3 linked regions of the Sus scrofa genome follow. The protein of the gene in region 1 purifies or fractionates together with the protein of each later gene. This does not show direct contact. Links are inferred from orthologs where the notes say so. Each region holds a gene or a part of one and is shown on either strand. Other genes may lie near its edges.

Evidence for each region.
Region 2: the proteins of LITAF (region 1) and NEDD4L purify together in Homo sapiens (affinity purification with western blotting; 3 studies listed by BioGRID and IntAct, counting the BioPlex papers as one, with this or other methods). This does not show direct contact. The link is inferred for Sus scrofa from reciprocal best matches to the Homo sapiens genes LITAF and NEDD4L.
Region 3: the proteins of LITAF (region 1) and NEDD4 purify together in Homo sapiens (co-immunoprecipitation; 4 studies listed by BioGRID and IntAct, counting the BioPlex papers as one, with this or other methods). This does not show direct contact. The link is inferred for Sus scrofa from reciprocal best matches to the Homo sapiens genes LITAF and NEDD4.

What each region holds. Positions count from the first base shown.
Region 1 is NC_010445.4:31,562,601-31,566,113, reverse strand, and holds part of LITAF (lipopolysaccharide-induced tumor necrosis factor-alpha factor), read right to left. Parts: intron 194-3,513; 5' UTR 189-193; coding exon 1-188.
Region 2 is NC_010443.5:162,514,018-162,518,160, reverse strand, and holds the start of NEDD4L (E3 ubiquitin-protein ligase NEDD4-like), read left to right. Parts: upstream 1-1,341; 5' UTR 1,342-4,143. UniProt on the Homo sapiens protein: E3 ubiquitin-protein ligase that mediates the polyubiquitination of lysine and cysteine residues on target proteins and is thereby implicated in the regulation of various signaling pathways including autophagy, innate immunity or DNA repair.
Region 3 is NC_010443.5:115,988,973-115,993,008, reverse strand, and holds the start of NEDD4 (E3 ubiquitin-protein ligase NEDD4), read right to left. Parts: upstream 2,803-4,036; 5' UTR 328-2,802; coding exon 1-327. UniProt on the Homo sapiens protein: E3 ubiquitin-protein ligase which accepts ubiquitin from an E2 ubiquitin-conjugating enzyme in the form of a thioester and then directly transfers the ubiquitin to targeted substrates. Specifically ubiquitinates 'Lys-63' in target proteins.

The DNA.
Region 1 (3,513 bases):
GTATAGTACCCAGGAGGATTCATGCCCTTTCCGTCCGGGCCAGTCATGAGCCCCGTGGTTGGCCCAGGCACAGGTGCTGGAGGCGTGGGGTAGTAACTGTTTACGGCCAGTGTCTCTTCATAGGACGGGGGCGAGGTGGGTGCCGAGGAAGGCCCAGCGGCCGCCTGGTAGGCTCCTGGAGCAGACATGGTACCTAAAGCGAAGCCAGAGGATTCCAGATCAGAAATGCAATGAACAGTTTATTTTCCCCTCTCTCTTGTCCACCCTGGCTTTCGTTTCTACCTGCCAAACAGAAAAATTGGAGGAAACAACTTGTATCCAGCCTTGCCAAAAGCCAGCGAGGGAGTTAGCATCCTTCCCGGACCCACGGATTACAACCTTAACCAGAGATTCCTTTCGTAAAAGGCAGATCATGACAAAAATCAGCAAGTCCTCAGGGGAAACAAACATCAGCCAAATGTGAGATGGTTTTTTTTCACACTTGAAAACCATCACCCAACCAAGACCTGTCTTTCACAGCTAGTGTTTTTTCTTTCCTTTTCTTTTTTTTAAATGAACCACTGCAGTTTTGCCCAACAGTGTTCCAGGGGACGTAAAAGACAAATGCATTCAAAAGCCAACCACAAACGATGACAACGGTTAATACGGAGCAAAACAGGCCAGATGCCAAAAACATGTCCTGTTTGATGCCGCGCATCTGATGTCCAGAAACTTGGGGCTCAAAAGGTAAAAGGAATCTTGGGGCTAAAAGTCAAGAAATGGGCTGGTCTTAGGACGGGAAGCAGAGTCGGGAAGGGGGCCTGAGGGGGACCAGGCATGTTCTCCTTCTTCATCTGGGGGTGGTTACAGAGGAATGTCCACTTTGTGAAAATTCAAGTTGCACAATTAAGTCATGTGTTCTTTTCTGTATATACATCAATGGTTTTTTAAAAAGTAAACACAAACAGATGCATGCACACCAACTAGCGCCCCCCCCCCGCCTTTTTTCTTTTATGGCCGCGCTGCAACATGTGGTGTTTCCAGACCGGGATCAGATCCAAGCCGCAGTCACGACCTCCACCGCAGCTACGGCAATGGCAGCTCCATGAACCCACTGTGCCGGACCGGGGATCGAACCTGCCTCCTGGCGCTGCACAGACACCTCCCATCCTGTTGCGCCCCAGCAAGAACTCCCTAGTTCTCATTTTTAAAAATAAGAATCAGAATGGCCAGGCACACGTGTCCTTTTGTGAAGGCAAAGAAAAGGTTTTTTTTTTTGCCCCGGCAGAGCTGTGCCTGCCTAGAATTACACCGCCTGGACCCGGGGTGTGTTCCTGTCTGCGGTTCCAGGCTCCGCAGCCCCTGGGCCACTGGCGAAGGACACAGTGCCGTCCTTTGTCTGGTTCTGTTTTTCCAACGGGGCAGGGCTACCGCCGTGTGTTAGACGATCCACTGAAACCTGTCTCAGGAGAAACGGGGCTTGACGACAGTGGATCACAGTCGGACAGGCCTGCCACCGCTTCCCACGCACGCTACCTCCTCTTCTAGAACCCACAGAATCGGAGGCAGCAGTCCATTCTGCTGTGGGGAGAAGGGGAGCGTCCTGCGGGGACGCTGAGCCTTCCAGCCCGGCCTCAAAGAGGAGATTCCTCTATGGAAAGAGATGAAGGGGCTTTCCAGGGCAAAGACAGGCACAGGAAAATCAATCTGCAAAAAACAAAACCAATCAATAATGCTAGATAGCTTGGGGCTGGGTGCTTGAAAATTTCAAAAGCCCCTCAGAGATGTTCGGACCTCATTCTGTAAGCCTGTGTTGTCTGATGGAACCTTCCAGAAGGATAGTCTGGGCTGTCCAATATGGTCACCGGCAGCCCCACGAGACTGCTGAGCACTTGGAATGGACAGAGGATCTGAATTGTTCAATTATATTTAAGTAATTTATTATTATTATTATTACTATTACTATTTTTATTATTGCTTTTTAGGGCCACACCTGTGGCAAATGGAGGTTCCCAGGCTAGGGGTCAAATTGGAGCTATAGCTGCCTGCCTACACCACAGCCACAGCAACGAGGGATCTGAGCCTTGTCTGTGGCCTACACCACAGCTCACGGCAACGCCGGATCCTTAACCCACTGAGCAAGGCCAGGGATCGAACCCGCAATCTCACGGTTCCCAGTCGGATTCGTTAACCACCGCGCCACAACGGGAGTGCCTGTTTTTACTTCTTAAAATGTGGGTACCAGACAGTGCTACATCGCCTGTGTGGCTTGCTTTCTGGTTTTACGGGACAGCAATGCTATGGAGCAACGGGAGCCATGGAAGGTTACAGAGAAGAGGAAAGGCCCAACCTTGGACAGCAAAGACGAGGCAGAGCTGTTCCAGAAACACGAAGCAAAGCCCCTAGGTGTGGGCGGGTTGGGGCGGAGTGGGGTGTCTGCATTACCAGGCTACAGAAGGGTAACCACACATGGGTTAACAAGACCCTGGACGTCTTTGCGACACGGGTTCACGGTTTCAAACTGAGACTGACTTTGAAGCGCGGTTAAGGTATATGACTGTGTCAGTGTCCTCTGACACAACAGGAAAGGAAGGGGCAGAGGCAGGAGGCAAGACAGGGTGCAGACAGCAGCCCAGGACACCTCCCTACCAGGCTCCCCTCTGAGGCTGGCTGTTGTCCCCTCCCGGCCCGCGGGGGCTCCATCCCCACCCCCATCTGCGGCCTGGGCCCCAGGAGACTTCAGCCAGGTGACCTCTGAGTGCAACGTCACAGACTCACTGGCCCTTCCTGTCTCAGGAAGGGCTGACCCAGAGCTGCTGCCACGATGTATGATGAAAACTGAGTCACAGGAAAAAAAAAAAAAAAAAAAAACAGAAGAGCAAAAAGTGTCGGGCGGCCAGAAAGCCTCAAAGAGCAGTTTGCCGTGGTTGCGAAGGGAGGGCTTTGGGAGGCAAAAGAGAGGGGCTTGGGGCACCCAACATTCTGCAGATAGTTTGGGTCAAACCATTGGCCCTTTCCCGCAAAAGGGAAGGAACCCAGCCAGAGGCTGTGTTGCTGAGAACTAATGCACAGGTGTTAGGAAGCTGGGGGGGTCAGGAGGGCAACCTCCCGAGACATCTAGAAGGAAGGAAGGGTCTGAGCTTCTGGTTCTGGAAGGAAATTAACACCCCACCCCCGTTTTATGGACCATCATCAACTTTCTTGGGCTCACATCCTGTGTTCTGGAACTTCAGGACACTGCCTTTTGGGAACATTGCTTGTGGATCAAACAGCCCCATAAACATGCTCATAACGCTGAAAAGAACATGAGCAACAAGCGGGAAAGGTTTGAAAAAAGAGAGAGAGAGGAAAAAAATATATATAACCAGCTGCTTTGCAAGCTTTCTAAATAAATTCCACAGCCTGCCCTCCCCCAGGCCCCAGGCCCGGAAATGCCACTTCAGTCAGCCCATTTCTTTTTTTTTTCCCTCCCCCCCTCATTTCTTTTTAATTTGGTTCCCCCAGGGGCAGGAGGCCCACCCAGCCACCCTTTCC
Region 2 (4,143 bases), on another chromosome or scaffold:
TTGGTCCTTAACGAAATGACACTTGAGTGTGAATGATGATTCCTGCTATTTCAGTGAAGTCTGGGTGAAGAGACAGAAAGAAGCAAAAAGACATCACCTAGAATTCCCGTTGTGGCTCAGCAGTAATGAACCCGACTGATATCCATGAGGACACGGGTTCAGTCCCTGGCCTTGCTCAGTGGGTTAAGAATCTGGCATTGCTGTGAGCTGTGGTGTAGGCTGGCAGATACAGCTCTGATTGGACCCCTAGCCTGGGAACTTCCATATGCTGCAGGTGCAGCCCGAAAAAGACAAACAAAAACAAAAGCAAAAACCAGACATGGCCTAGTGGCTCTGACACTGACCCCGCAGTTGCTGGAAACAGAACCATCTTTTATTTCCTTGTCTCTTTAATGGTCCGGAGAGTGGGCTTTGGAGACGAGCAGGCTAGACCTGATGGGGATCCTGGTTGCCCTGCATACCAGCTATGGGCTCTGGGGCAAGTTAGTTAACCCTTCTGGTCTCGGCTTCTCATTTGTAAAAATCGGGGTGACAATTATACATCATAGGGTTGCTTTGAGAATAAATGAGATGATGTATTTTTGATATTTAATAAGAAGATAGTGCCTAAAAAGGAAACATGCAATAGGAATGTTTTGTTTTGCTTTTTTTAACTATTTACATGCTTTTACTGTTTTATTCTTTTTTTTTTTTTATCATTGCTGTTATTTTTAGGCCTTAGAGGTTTCCTCGGACATAGACCTTTGTGAGGATGTAGCCTTGATCTACAGGCATGAGGATGCCTTTTTAGCGGAGACTTAGGAACTTTTAAAAATAAAAGTTTATCTAGAAAAATAAATTTAAAAGAAACTGTTTAGAAATATCCTTTCTCGCATTAGAAAAGTGACTTAAACCATTTTCTCCTTCTTATAGGCCTAAATATTAGGTGTAAAATAATATAGCGATCAATCATAGAAAACTTGATTTAGTATATAGAGGATTTTCATAAGAGCAGATTGCTTATATTGTACAACTGATTTGAGTGCATTAAAAAGCATTTTATTCTTTCAGTCTCTTTTTTCATTCGTTGAATTATTTCTGCTCATTTTAAAAGTATTATCTGGGAGTTCCCTGGTGGCTCAGTGAGTTAAGGATCCAGCATTGTCACTGCTGTGGCTCAGGTCCAGTCCCTGGCCCCAGAACTTCCACATGCCTCAGAATAAATCAATAGTAACAATTATTATTTTTGTCCCTTACAGGTAAACCCATCTAATCACAGACTCTTGTTTGAAGTATTTGATGAAAATAGATTGGTAAGTGGTTCCTGATTTTTAATTTTTGCTTCATTTTTTAAAAATTGAATTTTCAGCACATCTTTAAAAAGTCTATATGTGTTTTATTTCTCACAGCATACATGTCCCTCAAAAAGACTATTTTTGTCCCATTACTAGTTTAATGTTCGTAATTCAAACAAATATTTTTGTGTGGGTAGGACAAAATTTATTTGTACCTGTGTAAGTTTTTAATCATAGTTAATATTCATGACCATCACACTGGTGGTATATCAAGCCATATATGCTTATACTCCTCTGTTGGGGATACAAAGAGGTGGGCAAATCTCATTACTCATGGAAATAAACCTTTCAGGATTTTTATATGTAAGCCAGACTTTGAGACTGTGACACGTTCAATAGTGAATCTCTTTGGGATGACAGAAATCTAATTAACAGTATATAGCAAAAAGTGAATCTATATTTAGCAGGTAAAATTAAGCTGTATTTTAAAAGCGGTGCTTTCTCAAGGGAAATTCAAAGAAAGTACCTTCAAAGAACCAGAGGTATGCCTAAGGCATAAAACTAGTACTAATATGTTGTATAGATTATAGGTTAAAAATACTTATATATGGTTGCCTGCATGAGGCAAATTCAAGTTTTGCTTTTTGGAACTTTCTGGAATTTTTTTTCTAGATATTTTTGATTTGCAGTTGGTTGAAACCGTGAATACAGAACCTGCAGATGTGGGGGGGGGAGTCCAACCATGTATTAATTGCTTAAAGGAAATGTTATTATGAATCCTTCCTTCTGCAGAAGTCACCTGAAACTCCAAGTTTTTGAATAGCTTGAGTTTAATAGAATATTTGATCTGGAGGAGGCTTATAATACAACTCATTTAATTCCCTGTCCTTGCATGTGAGAGAACTGAGATCTAGAGCCTTGATGTAATTACATACCTGCCCGTCTATTAAGTCTCAGGCCATTGGTGGTGAATAGCCAGGCCTTAACCCTTAGTATTGAACCTAGGAGTATATTTGATCTCCTATGCCTGGAATTATTCTCCAAATTAGAAAGCAACAGATGCTGGCCTACCATCCTGATATATTTTCTATTCAAATATACGGATTCTCGGCGGCTTTGCATTGAACTTGACATTTTATACCTTGGGTGATGCTTAGTAGTACTGAATAGCTAAATCAGTTTTGCCCGGTGCACGAAGTTATTTTGCTGTTAAATCAAATGAGAAATTCTGCTTGAGGGTGTAGTTCTTGGTGCTCCATCTCCTGTCCAGAAACACCGATTGGGCAGAGTTCAGCAGAGTCCCAGAGTCCACAGATGGAGCCACAGATTAATCCTTACTCTCTCTTTTATTGTGTCTTACAACATTTCTTCAAGGTGAAGAAATGGTCAGCTTTGTGGAAAAAACTGTCTCTTGTCAGATGTGTTTTAACTCATTTAACTCTTCTATTGAAAGAAATTCTCTGTAAAAAATGTTTCCCATTTCCCTTATCTAAAAGAATCACTGTTGTTGAGAGGACCTTGCCATGAGCCTAAAACTTATACTTCCAAGCCGAATAGGGCTTTGAATGCAGAGCTCTAAGAAATCTCATGTGAAACTTTATCTGAAAAACTGTTTTATGTACCTAGCTTTGCCCCAGGCTGTCTGCATCCTTGTTACTATGCGTGAATGCTGCTGCTGGTGGTTTTTTCTTTGTTGGCTATTAATCCAGCAGAGACACTACGTGACTATAGTGGTACTTGGCAGTTTTCACATTAAACAAACTAGCTTCCATTTCTCTCATAGAGATCATTTTTGGCATTTAAAACACATGCCTTTAGAAAACAGGTTTGGATGTATATAAACACAAGGTTAATCCTCCACACTCTGGACTCCAGAGCTGTTGACAAAGTCAACATATATTAAAATAAACTTTTTGTCACTTTTTGCAGCTTGGTATTCCCACATCCCTTCCCTTCTTACTTCCTCCGAAATAAGCCTCTTTGTTAATAACTCGTGTTTCAGGACAATGAAAAAGAGTATGTTTAAAACACTCAGAATATATCCAAGTTAGCTACAAATCCGATGACAGCTTTTTGAACGTGGACTTTCACTTTTATTACTTAGGTCTTTTTTGACCCTTCACAAAAATGTCAAGATTCTATGTTTCCCAACTGGGCTGATATTGCTGGCTTCTTACTGGAAAACAGTCAGCCAGCTCCAGTCAGCCTTTTTTTCCTGCATGGTATTGAAATTAACTTATTACAGAAACCACATGCATACCCTTTAATTTTCCTTCTCCTTTTTTTTGGGGCGGGGGTATTGTTTTCTCTCCTATCTGGCATATGGGAGAGAATGTTTTCTCCAGCTGGGTTCTTTTTCTCTGGTCACTAACATGTCCGAGAATCCTATTATGTGTGAGATGGTGTGCCGCCAGCACCTCCCTCCCCCATCGTTTAAATGAAAAACGTCGTAACCAGAGGCAGACCACTGCTGGGGAGTGTTGTAAGCGGTGCCCCTTTCCACTTAGCTATTTTGTTACTTGTAGGTCATGGTCTAATTATTTAGCATTAAATGGCGGGGTGTGTAATCGTATTTATAGTACGTTTTATTAGTTTGCATTCCATCATGGTAGTGTGGTGATATCATAAATAACAGGGCAACATAACATCCGATTGCTGGAGAAAGGGTTTTCCTGCAGCCCCGGCATTTTTACTCAACAACGTTTGGTTTCGTGGGAAAGGTGGTGGGGTAGGTGGGGGAATACTATGGGCGCTTTTCTGTGTTAGGAGCCGGGTCTCTCTCCTGCATTGGTTGGAGAGTCCCGGGGCCCTGCTTGGTTCAGAAAGAAGTGTCCTGTGAGCGCCAATGCGGTTAGATTTATAGCAGCAT
Region 3 (4,036 bases), on another chromosome or scaffold:
ACTGCCAGCTAAGACATGGCTAGACTGAAGACATCCACTGTACCTTGTTGGCTGGAGTGAAATCTGCAGACAGCTGCTCTTTTTATTAACATTTTCAGGTGAAGGAACAGATGATCTTTCCTGAGACTTAACGTTTTCCTTTATTAACGGAGCTAGTGCAGTTTGTCTGGGAGTCAGCTTCATTTGAACCACGTTAGAGGTTGAAATCCGTGTTGGTCTTGTGAAGCACATGTGAATACTGCTATCCAAATCATCTCCAGAGGTTTCTGACAAAGGGTAAGTATTGCTTCTTCTGGCTGCAAAGTGCAATCGTAAGCTTTGTGCCATTTGTTCTCATTTCCAAACATGTTAAGGGCTGAAAGTCATAACAAAGATCTCTGTCGGTAGACAGGCTAGAAGCAGCTGCACTGCATCGAAAGAAAAAATCATTTGTGGTGCCTAAAAGAGCTCGTAAGTAGTGGTCTTTATCCTGAGTAAAACCTTAGAGACCAGATATCGTAGAAAGAAAAAGACGGCCCATTCCCGAGACTGACGACTGACGTTTCCAAAATGTCTTGAATCGCTTGTAGTCAAAATGCCTTCACTTACAAAGCACTTGATTTCCAGCGACCTTTAAGCTGAGCTCAGCTGCAGCACACTGCCTCAAACACTGCCAACCTTGTTTCAATTATACCTTCTCCAATTTGCATGAATGAGTAACACAAGAACAACAATCTTCTAGCATTTCAAGTTGAAACAGTATTTTTCACTCCAGCTCTACTAAATGAACATTTAACTATGTGAATCACGGTGCCTATACTTTCTCCAGCAGTTTGACCACTAATATTTTTACCCATAGGGATAGAATTACAGGAAGTTGGTAGGAATGAAACCCCATGTAATTGAGTATCAAATCAAGGATTGAATTTCCAAATAGTGGTCATACTGGAATCTAGTCAACTTAGTAAATGTAGAAAGGAATATAGACTGTTAATTTTTTTTAAATGAGTAAGTTCAAACAGTTGTATAAACTGGGAAATATCAAAACTGAGGTGAATTAAAAATTTAGCATTAAATCAAATAGATACATATTTTAGCTTCTAAAACACGATGTACTTATAAAAAGTGAAAGCTTAAGGATCGAAATACAAAATTAGCCTAGTAATCTATTGCAAAAATTGAGCATACATCTGAGAAAAAAAAAATTTTGAGAGAAGCTGTCACCAAGCATTTTCTCCTGTAATTTTAAGGCCTTTTCAGCCAAGCAGTACAGTCTTTAAATGATGCCATTTATATTTGGACTATTAAAACTCTGCCAAGAAATAGGCTAAGAAAACATTCCATTAAAAATATATGCAGATTAGACAGAAAAACTATACCCCAATATAGTTTGAGCACACAAGATATTTTATTCCACTGTCTCTGCAATTCATTCACTTAAGAGAGTGTTGTGGTAAGTAAAGAAGTCTAAAAAGGATTTAACACATCAAATAAACATATCTCAATGCCAATTCTGTTGCGAAAAACTCTAGGAGCTCTTTGCTGGCCCCTACTGGTGCACTGAAACAATTCATTTAGTTGTTTGATACCTATAAAGAAGTACAAACCATGTCGCATATTTCTTTATATAAACAAAGTACATACTTGTTTACATTTTTGAGCACTAGCACTGCCCTAGAGGCAGAATTACTTACTACTGCTGATAAAGCTCCCACAGGAGAGAACAGTAGACTGTCTGTCCTTTCAGAGGTTGCAATTTTGTATATGTATTTTTTTCTGCTTCGTATTTATTTAACCTTTACTTTATTTTCAGTTTACTAGGTAATAAAAGTTTAATATTTTAATTTCTCCCCTAAATGTCATAGACCAAGGTTGGTATTCTGTTTGAAAGAAACAAATTTATTTTTAAATAATGCTCTAGGGTATATTTAAACCCCTTACCTGAATTTTACAGCTGGAACTCCAGTAATAAATATATACTGGCTCATTCATAGGAAAGTAAAAAGCAAAATAGTTCAGTTGTTTACACCACATGGTACTACACCCAAGTTGTATTTTTCTAAGTAAGTTTTTTTTCCCTAAGTGAAAGCAAATATGTAAAACATATACTCACACTTTGTTTAAAAAAGAAAACTCAAGATAGATCTGTTCTCAATCACAATTTTCTAAACACTGTTTTTAATCAATTAAGGCAGGACAAAATAGAAATATGGAATTTACTAAATTCTATTTCTGACTAGAATGAGATAGTACTGTTTTAGAATGTGTATAATTATAAATTTAATAATAAAATTATTATGCTATTTTGGTTTTGCATAACCTATTTCCTTTATGATATTACAGGCTTCAGTACATATTCTCTTAAAATCTTTCTTTTTTTTACCAGAAGGGAGAGTCCTAATCTTTTCACTATGCCTTCAAATAATTCCAGCTTTCCTTCTTGAATTAAGTTAGGGATTTGAGGACTCAAAAGATGAATCACTTCTAATAAGCTAATCAATGAGATCTAACTGCTAGTGCCTGTGGCTTAAAACTTCCAGTTATTAAGGAAATCCCCTTTAGTTGTTACTATAAAATAATGAATAAATAATGATAAATGTTTTCTCTTTGGTAAGCTTCACTGTTAAGTATCAGTTTCACCTAACTAGATTTTAAGCTTCCAGAGGGTGAGGACAACAACTAAACATTTCTTATTTCCTCTGATCCACCTGAACTCATGCTGGGTACAAAGTAAACAGTAGGTAACACCAGAGAGGAGGTTGGATATATGGTGGATGTAGCCAATCCAGCTTCTATTTCCTTTTTTTTTTTTTTTTTTTTTTTTTAATTAACAGCTGCAACTAGCATATGGAAATTCCTGGGTTAGGGGTCAAATCCAAGCTGCAACTGCGGGCCTATGCCACAGACACGGCAATACCAAATCCAAGCCACATCTGTGACCTATGCTGCAGCTTGCGGCAATGCTGGACCCTTAACCCACTGAGCGAGGCCAGGGATCGAAACCCACATCCTAACGGACACTATGTCAGGTTCTTAACCCACTGAGCCAAAATGGGAACTCCCCAAGCTAATACTTCTAAAGAGGTATCAAAAATACTGCAGCTGGACAAAAAGAAGGATGCTCGAAAATTTTGCAAAGAGGGCTTTAGCCAAAGGGAAACAAAGGTAAGAGAATCAAATGCACTTCCTAGCACTCTAGTCTGAGTTTAAATGCTAGTGAGGCTGAATGGTTTGCATTACTGGCTCTGGTCTGGGACTGCACAGGATCTGTGCCACTTTTATAACAGAACCTGGGAAACACGGGGTAAAATGTAGCCCCTGGGGCAAACAGATGCCAAAAGTGGAGCATCAACCCTAACCTCAAGGAGAGGAGAGCTGGAGAGTGGTAGCAGGCTTCATCTGGGAGGAATCTGTGCAAATCCTATAGAATTTCATATTCTGGAGTGAAACGGATAATGTCTTCAGATTAGACTGGATATGTTGACTTGGCTTAGCTATTTTGCCCAGTTATTAGTCCAAACACCTAACTAGATGTTGCTGTGAAGCTATTGTTAAGGTATGATTAACTTTTAAATCAGTAAATTCTGAATAAAGCAGAATGCCCTCCATAATGTGATGGACTTCATCCAATCAGTTAAAGGCCTTATGCGCAAAGACAGGCTTCCCAAGGCAGCAATTCTGCCTAAAGGCTGTATCACAGAAGCCTTGCCTGAGTTTCCAGCCTGCTGCCCTGCAGATTTCAGATGCATTAACCCTTGCCTGAATATCCAACCTGCCAGCAGGGCCTCTTCAGACTTTCCATCTTCCATTATCACGTAAACCAATTCCTTAAAATAAATCAACACTCGCCTCATTACCTCGCTCCCTCCCCCTTTCTCAGGTGTGTGGGTGTGTGTCCTATTGGTTCTGTTTCTTTGGAAAACCTTGACTAATACAACCACTCAGCCTGAGAAGCAGAACATCGCCACCTGGAAAATGGAATATAAGCATCTCCTAAAGCTTCAGAGGCTGGATGTGTGCAGATGCAGCTCTTGGGTTGTGGCAAAGAAGCCCTAAC